Linked DNA regions of Caenorhabditis elegans. The protein of the gene in region 1 interacts with the protein of each later gene in a pairwise test. Each region holds a gene or a part of one and is shown on either strand. Other genes may lie near its edges.

Region 1 (5,961 bases):
CCAATTGCCAATCTATCGAGTTTCGAGAGATACGGACTGTTTACAGCCATCGACATAGCTGTCACGAGATTGCTAATAAAGTCTCCAGAATAGCATGGGTAGTCAATCTCATGCATCTCGGGCCGCTGAACTTGAATAGCTTCTGGCACAGTGAACGTGTCTCGATGTGGTTTCTTCAAAAATTGGAAGACTGAACCACTTTCCCCTGTCTCTTCAAGATGCTTCTTTTTTAGACTTCCACTGAATCCTCGTCGTCGAGCTGCCATAGCCTTTTCGTGTGTCTCATTGCCATCAACAATTCCGTTAATAAGAACATCGAGGACGCCAAGTGGAAGATGTTGAGGTGTCAAAGGATGCGTGGGTGGGATACAGACGTTCTTGCTAAAAGATGGATTTACTTTTCGATCGCACTAAAATTTCACAAACCTCAAGAAATCGTGAGCAATCTGGACAGTGATTATTGTGCAAGCAGATGAGGGAGTCTTCCGGCCACCATATTTCGATTGAGAATAGCTCAGTGGGAGTGCCCACACGTGGACACGGTTCTGAAAATTATATTTGTTTATGTTACGGTAGTGGGTCTTTTTAGGTATCGTATCCGCAAATGTTCCTCAATTTTTCACTAAAAACACATTTTAGCGCTATGAATTTGGTGAAAGTCTAGAAATAGACGATTACGAAAACTTGTGGTGTACGGTAGCTGAAAGGTTTCAATCGTGCCGAGACCAGGTACAGTATTTCCGCGCACATATTTCTCCATTTCCCCGTACTTTTGGTTTTTTTTTTCAAAAACCCGGAGTTTTAGCGCTATTAATTGCGAAAAGTTGAGCGAAATTGCAAAAGTACAGTGTATTTGTTTCCACTTCTACGACTTCAAAAGAGGGCGCATTCATTCAAAATGGTCTCGTCACGCGCCATTCATTGATTTTTGAAGCGCGTGGCGAGACCAATGGGTGGAGCGTGGCGGGACCATTTTGAATAAATGCGCCCTCCTTTAAAGTCGTAGAAGTGGAAAAAATAAACTGTAGAGGTAATTTTGAAACACATGCGGGTACTGTAGGCACAAAGTTCCGATTATAAAAATCGGGATTCATACCTCAAACACTGCCGATCGGAAATTCGAATTAGCCATCTTATACCAATTTTCTGCAGATTCCTCATTTTGTGTGGTGTAAGTAATTTCGTGTCGAGATCTGTAGCGGTTAACTGAGAACTCGTAATTCTAATACCTTATATTACCTCCGAGTTGTACTCAATCCTGGTCTCGAGACGCACATTGGGGGTTAGTCGGTTAGTTGAGAAGCCGCGAATGCTAGTAATTTGAATAAAAATAATGAATTTAAAATCGCCTCTCACAGTTCTGAATTCTTATCTTTTTCCAAATCTACACTTTTTTTAATAGAAAAATACAGTTTACGTAAAACTACATTCCATGTTGATTTTTCAAGCATTCATTTTAAATAAATTATATGTATTTTAAAAAAAAACACGTTAGAAATAGGCTACCGATAATACAAGAATTAAATTATAAACACTATGCACTCTCACAATCAGTTTATGCCCCTTTTGCACATTACTTCAACTTAAAAAAAAATAATTGCACACTTCCTCCAGGACACAGCATTTCAACTTGGAACAAGATTTCCCATTCGCGACAAATTTGTCCAATTTGCCATTTGTTAAGCTCGGAATACTCTAAAATTTGCCTTGAGTTTAGAAGAAAGAAATGAATGAAATAACACAAAATTTTGTGAGTATCTTTAAAAAAAATTTTTTTTCCAGAATGCTACACTTTTAAAGCTTTTTCGTCAATTTTGTGATCCAAAAAATAGTTTTAAAATATCGAGATTTTCCGGGTTCGCCGACCAGGGCAAATTTGTCAAATTTGCCGGTTTTGCCGGACTCTGCAAATTTTGAGATTTGCCGCACCCCCCCCCCCTCTTTCCCATGTTTCCTTTTTTTGCTCGTCCACTGGCACACAAGGCATAGGTACATGCATCTCTGACTTACCACTAATTTACGACTATCCATAAAAGTCCCAAGTCATATTTACTTTCGTTCTCCTTCCCTTTAAGAACTTTGCCGTCCAGGTTCATAGTCATTATATCATAAACTACTAATGATGGGTGGTGAGCCACACACAGTTCCCCATCACCACCGCCGCCGGTCTATCTTATCACTCTGACCTTTTTTGTCTCTTTCTCTAGGATCTCTCCGGGCTCTTTGTTACTTTCCTGCCTGTAACAAAGACAGACATTTGTGGTTAGAGTTGTCTGCTCTAGTCGACTGGAAAAAATGCTCCCTGAAACTACTACTCTTCAACCACTTCCATCTGTTACGACTATCATGAATGAGCCGCCAGCGAGAAGTCCAATGGAGGACTATTATTTATTTAATCAATTTCAATATAATCAAAAGTAAGTTTTGAAATCAAAACTGTTTTATTGCAGTGCATAAAAATGTTGCATAATGTAATTGTATTATTTTTACGGCAAACTTAAATTGAAATATTCACTATCAACAGAATTATATGGTTTTTACATTACTACCAAAATATTACTTTCCTGTAGTAATGTATACAAAAACAACAACTTTGTTCCAACATGTGACCAAAACTATGTTTTATTGAACTCATGTAGCATAACTGATAAAAATCAATATCGAATGCTCCAAAGTATACTGCTTATAATCAGTAGTTTTCAGTGTTTTTGAGAATAGGAATCTTTGAGAATTATTATATTTTTTAAGGTTTATTATTATAATTTGAGAGTCTGAAAAACGAGTTTCATGCTGGGAATGGCTTAAAGTGTATGACTTAACATGTTTCCTGTTTGGCAATTGTAGGTAATTTCCAACTTTCTCTCAAAGTTTAACAATTTCCTACAAAGCAGTTAAAAAATTCTGTCTACCTTTCGTAACTTTCTTTCAAATGTTAACACTTTTTGCAAAATTTTTGCAACTTTCTGTCAATCTTTGGACATTTTCTGACAACTTTTTGCAACTTTCTGCCAACTTTTGATAGCTTTCTTTTAAAGTTTAACAACTTTTTGCCAACTTTTGGCATCGTCCTGCCAAGCTCTGGCAACTTTTTGACAACATTTGGCAACTTTTTTCCAACTTTTGGCAACTTCTTGCAAAACTTTTGGCAACTTTCTGACAAATTTTAACAACTTTCCGCTTAACTTTTCCTGCCAAATTTTACCAACTGCTTACAAATCTTTTGCCTAGTCTCCTGCACCACAAATGTACTACAAACTCAGCTCAGCTTGAGAGAATAAAAACTCCAACTTTTCAGTCCATATGTCTACCCACCGCAGCCCGTGTACTACAATACTTGGCAAGATGCTTCAACTCATCACTTTGATCCATTCCAGAGTTATCAAATTCCATCTCCATACGAACAACCAATTCAGTCGTCAATGTGTACTACTCCATTACAACCACTTGAAGATTCCAGAATTATTTTTGATGAAAGCTTGACGAAAAATGAAAATGAGCAAAAATCCTTTGTGGAGCAAGATAGCAGTTACGAATCATCTGGAAACCGATTTGGTTCACAGAAGGGAAAGAAAATTGCAAAAGTAGGATTCGAGGGTTTAGAATGAAATAAATATTTCTATATGAAATTTTTCAGGTAATTCGTGATGCGTGCTGCTCACACTGCTCAACAACTACAACCACACTTTGGCGTAAAAATGATGAAGGGAATCTTGAGTGCAAGTAAGTTTATATTTTATTATATTCTTTTATATTATTTCTACCAGGTGTGCGCGGCAACCGATTGTTTTTCTGGCAAGTCGGCAAATCGGCAAACCGGCAATTTGTCGATTTTCCGAATTTGCCGAAAATTTTCGGCAATTTGTGGTTTTGCACATTTTTTTTGGAAATTTCCGAATTTCAATTTTAATCGGCAAAATTGTACGCATCCTATGAATGTTCCTACATCTATTCTGAAAAGTAAGCAAGTTCTGTGAAAATATCTAAAGAAAACGGAGAAAACATTTCAAAAATGCACAGTTTTAAATGTTTCCGTCTTATAAAAAATCCCTCTAAAAACAAAAATCATCAATTCAATTTCCGAAAAATCGGCAAATTGTCGGAAATGAAAATTTCCGGCAAAATGGCAAACCGGCAATTTATCGATTTGCCAAATTTGTTGACAAAAAAATTTGCCGAATGGCACTTGCCGCCTACCCCTGAATTTTTTCGAACATTTAGAACATTTACATTCCAAATCAAAAATTCTCAGTTGAACTTGCTTATAATTTTCGATTATTTTTTAGAATTTCGAATTTAAAATTTTATTAATTTTAATGACTAGTTAAATATACATCATTAGTTCCACTATTAAAGTAATATTTTCAGTGCTTGCAACTTGTATTACCGTCACAACAAAGTGAAACGCCCGTTATCCCTCTGCAAGCAGAAGCCAACTACTCGAAAGCGGCGTCAAGCAAAAAAAGAATAGACAAGTTTGGACTGTATCGCCATTTTTCCAGCATATTACGTATCCCTCTACATCAATTGTACCGTGTTCTATGCGCTGATTTGTATTCGTTTTTTAAAAAAGATTATATATCTATGTCATCTTTTCCACTGATATTACCATATTCAAACATTTGTAATGTCAACTTCATTATTATTTTTCTTAAATAAAACGTTAGAGATACTACTTATACAAATATTGTTACAAATAATAATGTTGAAAGATTCTATGATAAGATGAGAAATTGGTGATATGTGGGATATTAATACAAAAGTGGGCTTTAATGTAGAAATTGAAACGATGAGACCAGGGACAGATGAAACCATCAATTTCTATATTCTGCCAAGCAGCCTCTAATAAATGCCGAGTGTGCAGACTCCGCCCCTCTTTCGCGTTTTTTTGGCTCGCGAAAGAAGGTAACACTACGTTTGGCTTTACAGCGTCACGAAGTTGTCCCAAAGTTGTCACAAAGTTGTCACAAAGTTGTCACGAAGTTGTCACGAAGTTGTCACGAAGTTGTCACGAAGTTGTCACGAAGTTGCCACGAAGTTGTCACGAAGTTGTCACGAAGTTGTCACGAAGTTGGCACGATGTTGTCACGAAGTTGTCACGAAGTTGTCACGAAGTTGTCTCGAAGTTGTCACGAAGTTGTCACGAAGTTGCCACGAAGTTGTCACGAAGTTGTCACGTAATTGTCACGAAGTTGTCACGTAATTGTCACGAAGTTGTCGAACACCAAAGTGCAACTGCGGCGAGCTATGGAAAAGCAAACTCAGTTACAAAGACTTCCTGGAGAACCTAATATCTAAAAATGTCCAAGTTGAGGTCAGAGAGTACAACAATAGAAGGCTAAAAAAGAGTCCCATAGGGAGGAGATGATGATTGAAGTCTCACTGAATGACGAAATTGTGGAAAAGGACTAGTGACTTGTGACCGCAGCAGATTCACCAAGCTGTGTGAGGAGAAATATGTTTTATTGCTCAGGTTTTGTGTGGAATTGTACCAATAAGATTCGAAATACGTGGGTTAAGAAAAATATTTTGTTGTTAGAGAACAATAATTTAATTTGAAAGGCTGCAGAAATTACAAAGAACACTCAAAATGAAAGGAAATTATTTAAATATGGCTTTTTGTGTTTTGGAAAAAAAAAATCCAAATGCATATTGCAAAAAATTTATTTAAGTTCTAAAGATAGAGTATCCCGAGTGATAAGTTATTTTTAAAAAACCAAAAGGTTTTCGATTTCTCAAAATTTTCATTCAAAGTTTGACCAAATATGCCAAAATTTCCTAAAATGGGAATTTTTTTCGAGAAATGTCTAGTATTTTTCGCGCAGTGTCGTTCTGTCCCTATGTATTTTGAACTTTGATCTCTGATCTTTGAACTCTCTTTATTGTAGTTGGGCAGGTTTTGGGTTGGGAGCAGGGCTGAGCAGCCGCCCAAAAAAATCGGCGATCGGCGATCGCCGATCGCCG
Region 2 (4,445 bases), 5.8 Mb from region 1:
TTTTTAAAATAAACTTTTAAAAATATACTAAAATGCCAATCTTTCATTGCCTGTCATATATGAAAAATATCTGTGATTATCATTTAAGTAATTGCCAGTTACTTTAATTTCAGACCTTTTACGACACTGTCATATTTCCAATTTATTTTTGGGTTTATTTTGGTTTTACCATGTTCAGTCAAACTTCCGTCGTGCTTTTAGTTGTTTTTAAAACGCCCGTAGTATTCAAAGATTTTCGTGTCTTTCTTGTCAATTCTTCAACTTTACAGTTTTTCATGTGCATAATAGTTGTCTTCACACAAGTCAGGTTAGTTGTACGATAATATTAATTTTTAGCTAACACTGTTCCTTCAGACCTGTGAACAATCCAGAATCGTCAGCATATCTTTTTAGCGGGTTTTGTAGACACACTCATAAAAATGCTTGCTTTTTCAGTTTTGATTTTTTCCAGGTAAGTGTCCTGTAATTGTTATTTTTTACAAATATTCAAAATTCAGTTAGTCTTTGATGCCTCGTCCTTTGCAATTCCTGCTACATTGTTTTACAAATATACAAAAGTAACAAATATTAATATGAAAAACATAACTAAAAATCAAATCAGAATGATTCTTTTAAGCTCTTACCTTCTATCTTTAATTGTGGGGGTGAGTTTTGCTTTTCGTGATTGATCTAGAATGGAAATATGAATGTTTCTAGGTGATCTATGTGATAACGTACGAACCAGACGAATCTCTTGAGGTTGCTTCAGAGACCAGGAAGTTTCATTCAACACAATATGATTTCCGGTACTATGCGGATATCACTGGATATCAAAAACATTTTTGGAGCTGGTTAGCAACAAATTTGAATATGATAAGCATTTTCGTCCCACCAATCATGAGTATTGTGTTTATTAGGTAATAAATTTGAGTTTCGAAGAAATACTTACCAATGTGTTTCCAGACTAATACAAATTAAACTCAACAGTTTAAAACATTTATTTACTGATAAAACTGCTGCTCAAGCCAAGAAGTTTGATCTTGCTTTGACGATTCAGACACTTGTCCCTGCAGTTTGTGTGATTCCTATATACATAGCTCACTTAATACTTGAGAATTATGGTAGGCTCCTGTCCGTTTTTACAGTAAAATAATATGTGACAATTTTCAGACTTGCCGTTTCTCTCAAATTTTGAAAAAGTTCTATATATGATGCTTTCTCTTCCAACAGCTATTGATGCGTTCATTGTTATTGTCACCATCACACCGTACCAAAAAGCCTTTATTGCGTTTTTCAAGGATACGTTTTGTGGCAAAAAAGTTTCACCTGCAATTGTTAGACGTAACAATATTTCGGCTGTTTCCATTTTTTGAGCATTTTGAATAATTGGTAATGATAGTGGTGGACTAATCGGAGTAGTAATCGGAACTTTGCTCAATTGAATAAAATAACATTGTTCAAAGATATTACACAAGCACTTTTATAACAGTAATAAAAAATACCGACAAATGAAAAACATTGTTCGAAGATCTGCAAATAAAAATAACGATGAAAAAATATTTACAGTTCAACATTACACTTTAAAATAAAGTGCCAAAGCTCTCAAACAATTATTGTTAAACAAGTTTTTGGATCTAGAGAGACTATTCACCGTATTTCCTCACCAAATTAATTCATTTTGACGTCTAGTGTCGCACTACGTTTTAACGATACTAGAAATGTGTTATTAAAGCCCTAAGAAAAAGCTTATTGTTTATATTTTGCTAGTTGGCGAATGTCTGACAAAATTAAAAAAACAACCGAAAAATAAGCAGCTAAAGATGGAGAGATGGGTGCAAGACTATTGGACACGGAAATTATTTTTTTTTTAAGCAAATAAAATTTTAAAATTCCTGAAATCATAGTTGTGTTTTCATATTGAAAACTTGATCAATTGATCTTCCCTCAACTGTGCTTGCACAAAAATAGACACAATTCAAAGAGACGCAGAGGAATTAACAGTCACAAAAATTGTTACACTGTCTATGGTCTCTTCGGGAAGTAACTTTGAAAATACTCTCTACGTAAACAGATATTTCATATTTTAGTCACGGAAACTACAAACTTCCATTCAACCATGAAATAATTTTAACTGCAATGAGTATAAAAAGAAAACATTAAACTGCATTTAAACATCACATTCATCTGATTGACATTTTATTTTTGTAATCTCAAAATAATGGCTCGCTTTTCTGGAAAGTCTGTCATTATAACTGGTTCTTCTAATGGAATCGGAAGATCGGCTGCTGTGATTTTTGCAAAGGAAGGAGCTCAAGTTACAATTACTGGAAGAAATGAAGATCGCCTAGAAGAAACCAAACAGCAAATATTGAAAGCAGGAGTTCCAGCTGAGAAGATTAATGCCGTGGTTGCTGATGTTACCGAAGCATCAGGACAAGATGATATCATCAACACGACTCTTGCTAAATTCGGAAAAATTGATATCTTGGTATGTACATAGATAGAAAATGAAATATACTCAATTGTTTTAGGTTAATAATGCTGGTGCCAATTTAGCTGACGGAACAGCTAATACGGATCAACCAGTGGAGTTGTATCAGAAAACATTCAAGTTAAACTTCCAAGCTGTGATCGAAATGACTCAGAAAACAAAGGAACATTTGATAAAGACAAAAGGAGAGATTGTAAATGTTTCCAGTATCGTTGCTGGCCCACAAGCAGTAAGCTTCGGGAGAGAGGATTTCAGAACTTTTGTTTTAATTTTCAGCACTCTGGATATCCATATTATGCTTGCGCAAAAGCTGCGCTTGACCAATACACCAGATGCACTGCAATCGATCTTATTCAACATGGTGTCCGCGTAAATTCTGTCAGCCCTGGAGCAGTTGCCACTGGTTTCATGGGAGCGATGGGTTTACCAGAAACTGCATCTGACAAGCTTTACAGTTTTATTGGCTCACGGAAAGAATGCATTCCTGTTGGGCATTGTGGAAAGCCAGAAGAAATTGCCAATATCATTGTATTCCTGGCTGATAGAAACCTCTCATCTTACATTATTGGACAATCGATTGTTGCTGATGGAGGATCAACTCTTGTTATGGGAATGCAAACACATGATCTTATGTCCGTTCTTAGTCAGTAAACTATAACTTTTTTTTTCAGATTTTGTTAACCATTGTTATCTAATGTAATAGTCGTAAAATACACAATAAAATACATTGAATACTTTTATATAAATTGTGGTTTTAGGAATATATTACTTTTCTTTCGTTCACAAAGAAAAACAAGAGTTTCTGCTGCAGTTAGAAGTGTTGCTCCAACATATAATCCAATGGTTCCTCCAATTTCGGCTGAAAACTTTCAAAGTTACAAGCACATCGAGTAAAACTCACCAAGAAGTAAAAATAAGTTGTAGGATCTTTCTTGAAGAATAGTCTCTTGTTTAAAGTGTGCAAAATAGAACTTGATGTGAAGAAGATTTACTCTGAAAAAAGTTTGTTCCGTTGAAAGTACCAAGTTTAATGTTTATTTGCACGCATACACTCAATTAGAACAAGACGTCACGGCGGCGTCGTTTGCCATCACTGAGCTCACCCTACTCACAACTCAGATTACGCTTAAAAGACTTACACATCATATTGAGGAGTTGGAGAATATGACTGGGCCATCAAAACTTGGTTTCGAAGTCTTGAAAGCCATTCGCCACGGATGAATCGAGTTTTCTTTAAAATATAGAAATTAAAATCAGATCTTGATTTTTAAACTTTGAAATATTTTCTTATTTTATGTATTATTCGATTTTCCCCGTTGATCTTCTATGTATTACATTTTGTTACTATTTATCAAATTTCGAATAAACAAACAAACAAATAAATGTAATTTTTAGGTATTTTGAATATTTCAAAGTCAGTAATTATTCTTGCCTTTAAATTTGGCGCTTTTTCGTGAAGTTCATCCAAACATTTCGAGAAATTTGAAAATTTATCACTGAAACTTTCATCTGCAGCAATTCCTGTCAATACTGCAAACTTTCTTCTACTTTCTGTTGCTGCCAAAAAGGTTTCTGATAATTCATTCGCCAATGCTGGAATATCCGTAACCATAGTTTTTCTTAATTTTAGCATTTCTTCAATTTCCACATGGTCTTTTGCTATTTCTCGATACGATGATTCAAATTCTTTTAAATCAATTTTAAAATCTTTCCATTCACTCATTCGAACTCTTGTTTTTAATATTTGCAGTTTAGCCAACACTTTCTTCATGGCTTCTGTGTAAAGTTTAAATGATTCCGAATTTGGATTTGTTTTTGTATGGACGTTAGATGCTTCAATAAGTGGAGTGTAGCGATTCTTGAAAATCTAAAAATAATTATTATTCTTCAAATCCATGCATTAGTTTGACATACAATTCTGCAATCTTCTGCAATCTCTTCAACTCTCTCCAGATTTTCATACATTTTGGTAACA
Region 3 (5,449 bases), 1.8 Mb from region 1:
TCTGTGATGTATTTGTTAATAATAAAAATTCCATCTCGTAATATATTCATAACAAATACACATTGCACGACCTTTTGCTCTATTTCCCTAATGTAGCCTATTCTTCCTGTACAGGATGAACATGAAATTCTATTCCAAATACTTTTTTATGTTCACGAAATCGTAATATTTTTTCTGAATCTCAGCTAATATAACATCTACAACTATTGATTTCTCTGCTTTAGCTTGAATAAAATTATAAAATCTCGCGAATCTCAAAAATGAAACAAACATCCAATCTGCCAATTTCACTATTCAATTTTTTGTTTGAAAAAATTTTGAATTTTCAGTGAAATCAGACACTTTGGACGTTTCAATATTTTTACATTGTCCATCAATAATATTTGTGTAACGAATTTGAAAAAAAATGCAACAAAGCACATTACCCTGCTTGTAATAAATCTCCTAATTAATTGTTTAGTTGTGTAAACATGAAACGCATTTTTTTAATTTTTCAGGCGCCCGATATTTTGTTCCATTTAATCATTCAATTTTTCAAATCTTACCCTTTGTTTGAGAACACTTTAATCTGACTACACATCAACATTCTCAAATAAAAATTTACCAAAAACAAAATGATTTTTCTTCAAGAACATCAATTTAATACGGGGAAAACAATCGTCTTTTTAACTGTAAATAGTTAATTTTACTTTTTCAATTAGAAATGTCTCCATAAATATTTTATGAAAATCTCCTTTCTCTGGAGCTATGTATCTCCTCGGACACCCAAGATTAAAAGATGTAATCAGCTAAAAACTTGTTAACTTCTAACCCACGATATTTAATCAATTAAAAGTTGAGGATATCTAGGTTAAGAAACTAGATATATTATTCTTGGACAAAGTAATGACTCATCAGGCTTAACATTCAATGGCTTGATTGCGGTTGTTATCAAAGATACTTTATATTTCTGTCAACTTTTAAATAAATGCCAACTTTTATGCAATCTTTCTGCCTACTATGTAAGTCTGTAAGTATACAAAAAATACTCAATTTTGGTTAGGAGTTGTGTATAAAAAATTCGAAAAGACGAATGAATAGTCTTCAATTCAAGAAAGTACTATTATAAATTTTCAAATGAAAATTTGAGCAAAAATGTTGAATTTTTCCACATCTGCTGCCAGTCAACGTAAAAAATATAGAAATGAATTCTGATTATACATTTATTAAACAGTTTGGTGAAATAGGAAATAAATCGAAAAATAATTGTTTGTAGAAAATGAAAATGAGTGAAGTTAAGAATTTAACAGTAAAAAGAAAAAACCTTTTCAATTTCATCCGTTTGTTTTATTTAGAATGAATAACCACACTCATATTATTAATCTTTTCTCAACGTGTATTCAATATGTATTGTTAATGTAAACAAAAGGGTGTGCCCATTTGAATCTAAAGTATGTTTCATTACACCTTTATCAGTCACTATTTGGCACACCGTCATTATGCGTTAACCCACTTTTCTTCGTTCATTGATTTTCCGCCTTGCTCAAAAGCTCAATGCCACGTTCTAAAAACTGGAGCCCTTGCCAATTAAATCACAAAATATTTCGAATTTTAATTAATAGTTTGTAGATATATATACATCAAGTTCAATCTGAAATTTTCATCAGCAATACAATTTTTGAAAAAAAATTATAGTTCCCTGATGAAATGAAGATTTTTTTCTTAATTTAATGATTTCTTGAAACTTTTTAAAGGCTTTTTTAAAAATAAAGTTTTAGTTATTTGCAATTTTAGTATAAATTGATTAAGAATAAACATCATTCCAGACAATATTCTGGGAATAACTATTTCATTTCTCCGAACTACTCGATTCTTTTATTATTGGTCACAGTTTGATTGCTCAGCAATACAAACAGAACAACTAACCACCAATCATTAGTTGTTTCTCTTTTCAGACAAAGGCTTTCCAAATATGAATAACAGAGCACATCCGTTTTTATGTCCGTCTCGATTTTATCCAATTTTACTCATAGTTGGCTTGTTTCTAATGATAACAATTTTGTGAGTTATTTTCCCCAAACATTAATAGAAAATGTGAAATTAGTTTAATGTTTCCAATTATTTTCAGGTTTTTAAATGATAGTAATTCTGTGCGAAGCTTGAAAAATTCGATCTCGAGGATCAAACTGCCGGATCCATTTCCCGCTGTGAACCTCAAGGAATACAAAATTAAAACTTATAGAGGATATGTATCAATGGATGAATTGAACGAAAATGTAAGTTTTTTTCACATTTCTTGTTTAAAATATTTATTCTAGGTTTTCAAAAAATTTGGTTACGAAATTACTCGGCCCACTTATCCGGTGCCCACAGTTCGGATGATCAACGAGCCAACATGTGAAGAGGTAAATTATCATGAAATATATATTTTTTAATATGAATTTTATTGAAGGTGTTCTTTGCGTGGCAAAAAATCTCCGAGCAACCACAACCAAAATTTCCTCCAAAAACAATTCCGGCAGAGCGAATGAATGAATTCTTATTGTATAACTACACAGCGCTGAGTGATGTATGTGAGAAACAATTTTTTTCAGAAAAAAATTTCTTAATTTCAGTGGTATATCAACGATAAAAACTCAGAAAAAGGAGAGAAGCCAAGAAATTGGGAAAATCTTTCCGAACTCATCAAGTGGCCAAGAGCAAAGTTAGGGGGATTGGCGTATGGATCAGATGGAGGTGGAAACAATTTAATTTTAAATTTCTTCAATAAAAATGGAGTATTTCAGTGTCAATATACGACGCTATGCATGCCTACCGGCTTGATGGAAAGAGTGGTGTTGTTATTGGAAGTATGCAACCATGGGTTGAAGTTTCAGCTCTTCAAAGTGGTTAGTGTTTTGCAAGGCTTCGCATATACATAGATACGCTGCTGTAACAAAAATAAACATAAAAATTATTTTACAGGTGCTTCCAAAGTTCTCACTGTTGAATATAACAAATTGACTATTCAGGAAGAATTCAGGGATAGAATGTCTTCCATTCTTCCTATCGATTTTGTGAAAAATTGGCGGGAGTAAGCTTTTTAAATTAAAAAGATTCAAGAGACTGTAAAAATGTTACTTTAATATTTTGTTCCCAAAATTTAAAAATCGAAAAGATACAGAAACCAGCTCAGGGGCGCGCGGCAATTGCCGATCAGCAATTCTGAAAAATGAGTCAAAGTGGCATTTTTTCCAATAATTTTCATCACAATTTAGGTACAGAATTTAGATAAACATCTATATTCATCTGACAATAGCCCTTATCTTGATAGAAACAAACGGAAAGCCGCTCAAAAATTGTCTGAAAGTTTGAAAAAAAAACATTAGAGAAACTATCGATATTTTTTCAAGCAAATTTTAGACATTTTTGAGCGGGTTTTCAATTATTTATATCAAAACAGAAACCATTATCAAATAAAGCACGTATTTTCTATATTCGGTCACAGAATTGTCATGAAAAATATTCGGGAATCCCGCCACATTGGCTTTTATGCTGATTGGCAAGTGCCGCGCACTTATTAAGTTTGCTAATATGTATTACATAATTGAAACATTTTCAGCTATGCTGGAACGTTTGATTTTGCTGCATCCTTCTCTTCTATAGAGCATTCTGGATTAGGAAGATACGGTGATCCAGTTGATCCGCTTGGTGACTTGAGAGAAATGCTAAAAATCAAATGTGTCTTGAAACCAGGAGGTAATGGAAATATTTTCAACCCAAGAAAACACATTGTTTAGGACTGTTATTCATCGGTTTTCCATTGGGAACGGATTCTATTCAATACAACGCGCATAGAATTTATGGATCAATTCGACTTGCTATGATGATGTACGGTTTCGAATGGCTTGACACATTCTCCGGAGACAAGGAAGAAGCAAATGATCTTACTTCTGATCGACTTCATTCAAAACCCATATTTGGACAGATTCAGAATACATTGGTTTTAAGGAAACTGTAAAAAAAACTGTTTAGCAGTACGTGTGTTTCTATATTACGAGTCTTCTTTTTTTAATTCGCATTGGCGAAACTTCAAAATAAGTTTTATAAAAACTAGCAAATAAGTTTATAAATATGTTTGACAAGAAATAAAATTTGCATTCAGTGAAAGTGTATTACAACACAATTGAAACTCGTGACTGAAGTATAAAATACGAGATAATATGTAACTTAATGTTGTGTCGTGACGACGAGAGAGAATATTAGAATGATCTATTAGTAAACCTGAAGAAGTGCGGAATCATCAAAATACAATAACAGTTAACTTTATTCAAATTTATTGAAAAAATTTAGTTCCATAGACCACCAAATCTAATCTATTTTTTGCTTTAAAAGCGGAAATTGTCGTCCGATAAACCTGAATAAAAGTTTGATAACAAGATAAACTACAAACAAAATAATACATACAATAACAAAAATAGCAAGAGGAATATCAAAAGAATAAAATTGGAAAGTATTTAATAATCTTCCTTCTGAATTCAATGTATCTAATGAACCAAATTGAACAGCAAAGTCACAATGTTTCAGAACCACATCCTTCGGTTTGTGTGGCTGTTCTTCAAGAATTTTGGCAAGGCGTTCTGCGTTGTGCTTGTAATTGACATCATTCAAAACAGTTTGGATAGCTTTTATAATTTCTTCTGGTTTATTCAATAAAGTTTTATCCAATTGAAGGGCACCACCATGTCTTGTGATCATGTGAGCATTTCTTGGTTGATCAGACATTAATGGGATCTGAAAAGTAAAACTTTTAAAAAATGTTTTCAACTTTAGTTGTGGTGTTTTTTATATTTTTCTACATTTAAAATTTCATTATTGCCGTAATATCTCTATTTGTAAGCAAGACTGATTTCCGGTCGCTCCGCAGCGGTGGCAATAATGAAAAATCATTTCCTAACAGTTGAAATGTTTAGAACTCGAAGGCATACATCAGGGCCGAACCTCAACATTTTCGCAAACATTTATTTTTGTTGAAATTATATTTTTGGAAAAAGTATGGTTTTTTTCGTTTACTACTTTTTTTTAGAAAATCTAGTTTTTCTACGCAGAATTAATAGAAAAGTTGAAGTAAGTTTCCTTATACTTCACGACCAACTAAATCATTAAAACTCACAACAACTGCCGGTTTCCCTTGGTAAGCAATCTCCACAGAACTTCCAAGTCCACCGTGAGTTATAAAAAGTGTTAGTCGCTCATCAGCTGCAAATTATATGAGCAAATTTGTAAAAATATAAAAGCTTATAACGATTACTCACCAAGAATATCATTTTGTGGCATCCAAGTAATCAGTTTAACATTTGGAAGATGATCTGCCAACGTTGCATTCGCTACTTCGTACTTCCAAATGAAAGTAGTTTCCGGCATTGATGCAAATACTTTCAAGAATGATTTTCTACAAAAATTGAAATTAGAAATATAAACGTAGAAATTT
Region 4 (4,488 bases), 4.3 Mb from region 1:
GCCTTTCGAGTAATTTAAGTTTCCTTTCACTGTTTTTCAGAATCGTGATCATGTTTATTGGTTGAAGACAAACTGCAAATAAATTACCAAAAAACACGTAGTTTTCATCACTATGAAATGGGTCATCGAAATAGGCCTAAAATCCATTTTTTTTAAACTATTTTAATCACGGATTTTATTTATTTCAGTACTGGTATCCAAGCCAGACTATATGAACTCGAATGATAAAGACACTCTCTGCCAAGGTATCAATTGTTTTGGAATGAATACTTGCACAATTGTCCGAGTTCCTTGTATAGATGATCCAACCTGCATTAATTATTTACCATTCTGTGATGACTCTCCACTTACAACATAAACCTATAATTATTCAATCCTCGTAAACATTATGAGGTTTTTTTTCGATGGTGCTACCTTAATTTTTTTAAAATTTTCCTTCAACCAATATTTTTTTCTTAAAATGGCATCCTTTCGAGCAATATACATATCGTGAGTTCATTTCGATTATTTTCCAACTTCAATATTTAAACTTCCAGGGTGACTTTAATGTCTATAGTCATCATATATCTCAACTCGTTCGCAAACGGTAAGCATTTCTGTAACAAGATTTATTCGACTGGCCAAATCTGTAGTGATGTTTTATGGCAAACAAGTGAAATATAAATCTTGTATCATTGCAAAAAAGTAACCAATAATAAAACTATTCCAAAAATTTGATTCTTGGATGGTTTTTACTTTCACTTAATTATATTTTCGTTGAACAAATTTTGAATGTTTTTTTTTGTTTGCTCGAAAAACTTCTGATTTAATTTCTGATTGGCTTCAGCTATTACTTATGACTTTATTTTACATTTTCCAAAACACGCAGTTTTACCACGACTAACAAATAATTTCAGAAGACAAACCCAGATTGGCTCGGGAAAACCGTCCCTATACTATTCTCAGTACTCATTTAAATTTGAAAGATTACGATCGGCTTTGTTTGAATGGACCAACAGTGAAATGTTACGGAGAGACAGTTTGCAAAGTTGCAAAAGTAGAATGTCTTCCAAATAAAACATGTGATCCGTTGATGGCAATTTGCTCGGATAAATCTTTCGAGGACTATCAAGACAGAAAATTCAATTATACTTCTTCTCGTTAGGCACATTTCCTTTTATTTTTCGTAGTCACGCAATGCATTTTCCCATGTTTTCCTTTTTGATTGTTTTCATTCACTTCAGTTTATAGAAATGAAGTTACTTTTTCTGTTCTGTTATTTTATATTTCTGGCTAAATATTCACATTCACAACTACCAGATGCATGTGACTTTGTAACATGTTACGGTCAATCCATATGTATTCCTGTGCCTATTCCATGTATTAACAAGCCATGTCCTGTTGGCCCCGCTTGCAAGATTTTTGCATGTCCAGAAGGAAGCAATCCAAGAGATCATTCAAATTGTATTTTGCTAAAAAAATCGACACTGTGATGGAATTTTGTGAATTTCATACAGTGTAATAAATCAATTTTCAAATGTCAGAATAACCAAACGATTTCTAACAAACAATGCCAAAGTTTTTATATATAAGCTTGAGGGAATTGTCAAGAAGTTTGTAGACTTGCCAAAACTTGTACTTGAATAATCAAAAAGTTATTATCTGAAAGCTTCTTTTAAAAAATTTTCGACGGAGCAAACTGTTTTGAGAGCAAACTAACCACATAAACGTGTTTAAAATTATCAATTTTCAATAGGAGACTTCTCATAAATGAATTAGATTTAGGGGTATTGGAATTATTGGAACTGGAAAGTACCGTGTTTTATCTATTAGAATCACACCTATTGTTCGACTTTGGCAGCTGATCAGCGTATCTCAATTGTCGTTTGTTCTAAACAAAGATTGTTAGCTGACAAAATATTTATTGTTTGTTTCTTTTACTATTTTTTTCACAATTTGGAAACAACGTTAAAAATTTTTGAACGGCTGTACACAGTTTTTGAGTATTTTTGCGAGTTATTTTTATGAAGTTTCTGGCTTTTGGAGCTATTTTGAATATATTCAAAGCCCATCCCAGCAGTTAATCTTCTGTTCCAACAGTCTTGAGTTTTTGCTTGTATATAATAAAAATACTCAAATGGGCAACTTTCATAATAAGACTTCTCAAAAAAATTGCATAATTTTTGAGATTTCTCATTACCAAAATTTTGCCTAGGGCGCATTTTGAGTCTATTCAAGCAAAAACCGAAAACAGTTACTTCTTTGTTCTTCTCAGGCGTACTTTCGTAGAAAGTAATTTTGTAAATAACATATTTTTAAACTTAAAAAAACAGCACTCAAGAAATATTCCGGTCGGCTGAACTCTCTCCGGTCTCACCAAGTCATTAATCTTTTGACTCATCCTCGGTCTCACGCCTGTCAATTTTATTTCAATGATTGCTTCCTTCTCATAACTTCCCCACTCCGAAAGTTTCTTCAGAAATTCTTTCATCAAAATGGTGAGTGGTTTTTTCTTCATATCTTACAACAAATGAAAGTGTGTTTTTTCAGAATTTTCAATTATTTATTTTCTTTGCTCTTCTTGCTTTTGCTAGATCTGGAGTTCTTAGTGAGTACCAAGGTTTTATTTAAAAATCAAATGACTTATTTTCAGAAAACACAGAAAACATGCCCATTTCTCACACAGACGCACTCTGTGGTTCTATCAAATGTCCTGATAATTATAGGTTTTAATATTTCCAATTATAAATTTTAAAATATTTTTTCAGATGCGAACTGCCAGTCAGTGACTTGGAATGTGGTTCTGAAGACGATTGTTCAGTTGATCCAAAGTGCGTGCCAATCCGTAAGTGTAGTGAAACCAAAAATATCCAGTGGTTCTTGGAAACTTCCAGCAATCCGCAAACCGGAATGTGAGGGCGATGAAGAGCTCAAGGCGTGTGGCTCAGCGTGTGAACCGACATGTGATAACGAGAATCCAGTAAATCAACGTTGAGATTATGTATGATCATAAATTGTTTCTCAGGAATGTGATTTGGTGTGTATGACAAACGTCTGCCAGTGTAAGAAAGGACTCGTCAGAGACTCGGCAACTGGAAAATGTGTGGAGAAAAATAAATGCAGTAAGCTTCAAAATTTATTACTAGACTTTAACCAATTTAACCATCAGTGATTATTCGCTGAAAACCTGCACATAATACTAGTCATAAATTTTTCATTCAGGCAAATGCACTCTTGAATGCTCTGAGAACGAAAAATGTGAACTTGTGGAGCTGACTTGTGAGGAGAAACCATGCCAAATTGTGGACGTATGTGTTGCACAACATACCACTGAATAATATTTTCGATGATTAAAAAAAAAGTTGTTTTTCTCATATTTTAATATTGATGTTTTCATGCTAATGTTTTCAGAAAATTTAAAAATAACAATATTCGAATTTTAACATAATATTTGTATTCCTTTTCAATAGCCAAAAAACTTATGAACTATTCCGTGTTGCAATACAATGAATACAAAAAGTCAGTGTTAACCAAACAATGTTAAGTTGGTAATTATGGATGAAACACATTCGAAATACTCTCCAGTGAGCCAAGCCAAAACTATTTGCACCAAGCGATACGTTTTAAATTGATATCTTCTAGTGAATTGATTCATTAAAATCATTGGTCGGAATGAAATTTCGTAAGGTTCTCGATTTAATGTGTTTCTGATTTTTTCTGAATTTTCGAATACAAATTCTTCGAGATTTTTAAACCTTTGTTGTGAGCCCAATTTACAAAATAAATACGTGACCGGTGAAAGATAAATTTCTCTCCAAAAGATTGAGAAGACCTATAATATCTCCCATTCGATCTTATCATGTTTCTCGTATCATCCCTTCCGAAAAAAAGGGCGGTTCTGCCGTTTTTTAGTGTTCCGGCACAATAAATAGAGCCGTTAAAAAGCAAAACATCGGTTGGTTGCCCTTCGTTATTGTGAAAATGGTGAGTTTTTGAGTTTTTTTTCTAATATAAAAATTATACACTTACAGAGGATACTTGTCATAATCACATGCATCGTTGCTGTTGCTACCGCCACAAGTAAGTAAATATATGTGATTTGGTACTTGAACGGTTACCAGATCATAAATATTTTTTTAGAAACATGTGAAGCCAATGAGGAGCTGGTATCGTGCCATAATACATGTGAACCACAATGTGGATATACCCCTGTAACAATTAACTTAATGTGTCTCCCATTACTGAAAGTTTCAAAATTTAGAAAGCTTGCACGGAGCAATGTATCATGAACACATGTGACTGTAAAGACGGATTTGTTCGTAATTCTCTTGGAAAATGCGTCGAAGTATCTGAATGCACCAAGGAAACTACAAAATGCCCAGAAAATGAGACATTCTTTGGCTGTGGAACAGCTTGTGAAGCAACTTGTGAGAAACCAAATCCAACAGTTTGCACTAAACAATGTATCGTCAATGTCTGCCAATGCTCCAAAGGTTTCGTTCGTCATGG

Evidence for each region.
Region 2: the proteins of elt-7 (region 1) and F25D1.5 interact in a two-hybrid assay, tested with the Caenorhabditis elegans proteins (one large-scale study listed by BioGRID).
Region 3: the proteins of elt-7 (region 1) and K04A8.1 interact in a two-hybrid assay, tested with the Caenorhabditis elegans proteins (one large-scale study listed by BioGRID).
Region 4: the proteins of elt-7 (region 1) and C25E10.10 interact in a two-hybrid assay, tested with the Caenorhabditis elegans proteins (one large-scale study listed by BioGRID).

Annotation. Positions count from the first base shown.
Region 1 is NC_003283.11:4,768,419-4,774,379, forward strand, and holds elt-7 (Transcription factor elt-7), read left to right. Parts: upstream 1-2,251; 5' UTR 2,252-2,295; coding exon 2,296-2,417; intron 2,418-3,295; coding exon 3,296-3,581; intron 3,582-3,634; coding exon 3,635-3,720; intron 3,721-4,365; coding exon 4,366-4,468; 3' UTR 4,469-4,668; downstream 4,669-5,961. Other genes in the region: C18G1.9 (FERM domain-containing protein), read right to left, coding at 1-381, 427-545, 1,097-1,193, 1,240-1,277. UniProt on the Caenorhabditis elegans protein: Transcriptional activator that binds to the consensus sequence 5'-[AT]GATA[AG]-3'.
Region 2 is NC_003283.11:10,544,505-10,548,949, reverse strand, and holds F25D1.5 (DeHydrogenases, Short chain), read left to right. Parts: upstream 1-2,166; 5' UTR 2,167-2,197; coding exon 2,198-2,467; intron 2,468-2,510; coding exon 2,511-2,699; intron 2,700-2,746; coding exon 2,747-3,121; 3' UTR 3,122-3,207; downstream 3,208-4,445. Other genes in the region: srd-34 (Serpentine receptor class delta-34), read left to right, coding at 270-307, 355-451, 498-644, 697-896, 943-1,100, 1,150-1,352; degt-1 (Acid-sensing ion channel 1), read right to left, coding at 3,208-3,329, 3,372-3,463, 3,610-3,701, 3,903-4,337, 4,385-4,445.
Region 3 is NC_003283.11:6,564,625-6,570,073, forward strand, and holds K04A8.1 (Methyltransf_11 domain-containing protein), read left to right. Parts: upstream 1-1,934; 5' UTR 1,935-1,951; coding exon 1,952-2,040; intron 2,041-2,107; coding exon 2,108-2,255; intron 2,256-2,297; coding exon 2,298-2,384; intron 2,385-2,431; coding exon 2,432-2,548; intron 2,549-2,594; coding exon 2,595-2,715; intron 2,716-2,765; coding exon 2,766-2,867; intron 2,868-2,943; coding exon 2,944-3,052; intron 3,053-3,580; coding exon 3,581-3,717; intron 3,718-3,758; coding exon 3,759-3,979; 3' UTR 3,980-4,123; downstream 4,124-5,449.
Region 4 is NC_003283.11:9,054,305-9,058,792, reverse strand, and holds C25E10.10 (TIL domain-containing protein), read left to right. Parts: upstream 1-2,439; 5' UTR 2,440-2,474; coding exon 2,475-2,477; intron 2,478-2,529; coding exon 2,530-2,587; intron 2,588-2,632; coding exon 2,633-2,705; intron 2,706-2,747; coding exon 2,748-2,824; intron 2,825-2,873; coding exon 2,874-2,959; intron 2,960-3,004; coding exon 3,005-3,101; intron 3,102-3,201; coding exon 3,202-3,317; 3' UTR 3,318-3,467; downstream 3,468-4,488. Other genes in the region: C25E10.16 (Prohormone-3), read left to right, coding at 189-358; C25E10.11 (INSulin related), read left to right, coding at 461-489, 537-586, 897-1,144; Serine protease inhibitor swm-1, read left to right, coding at 3,961-3,963, 4,011-4,059, 4,120-4,190, 4,241-4,488.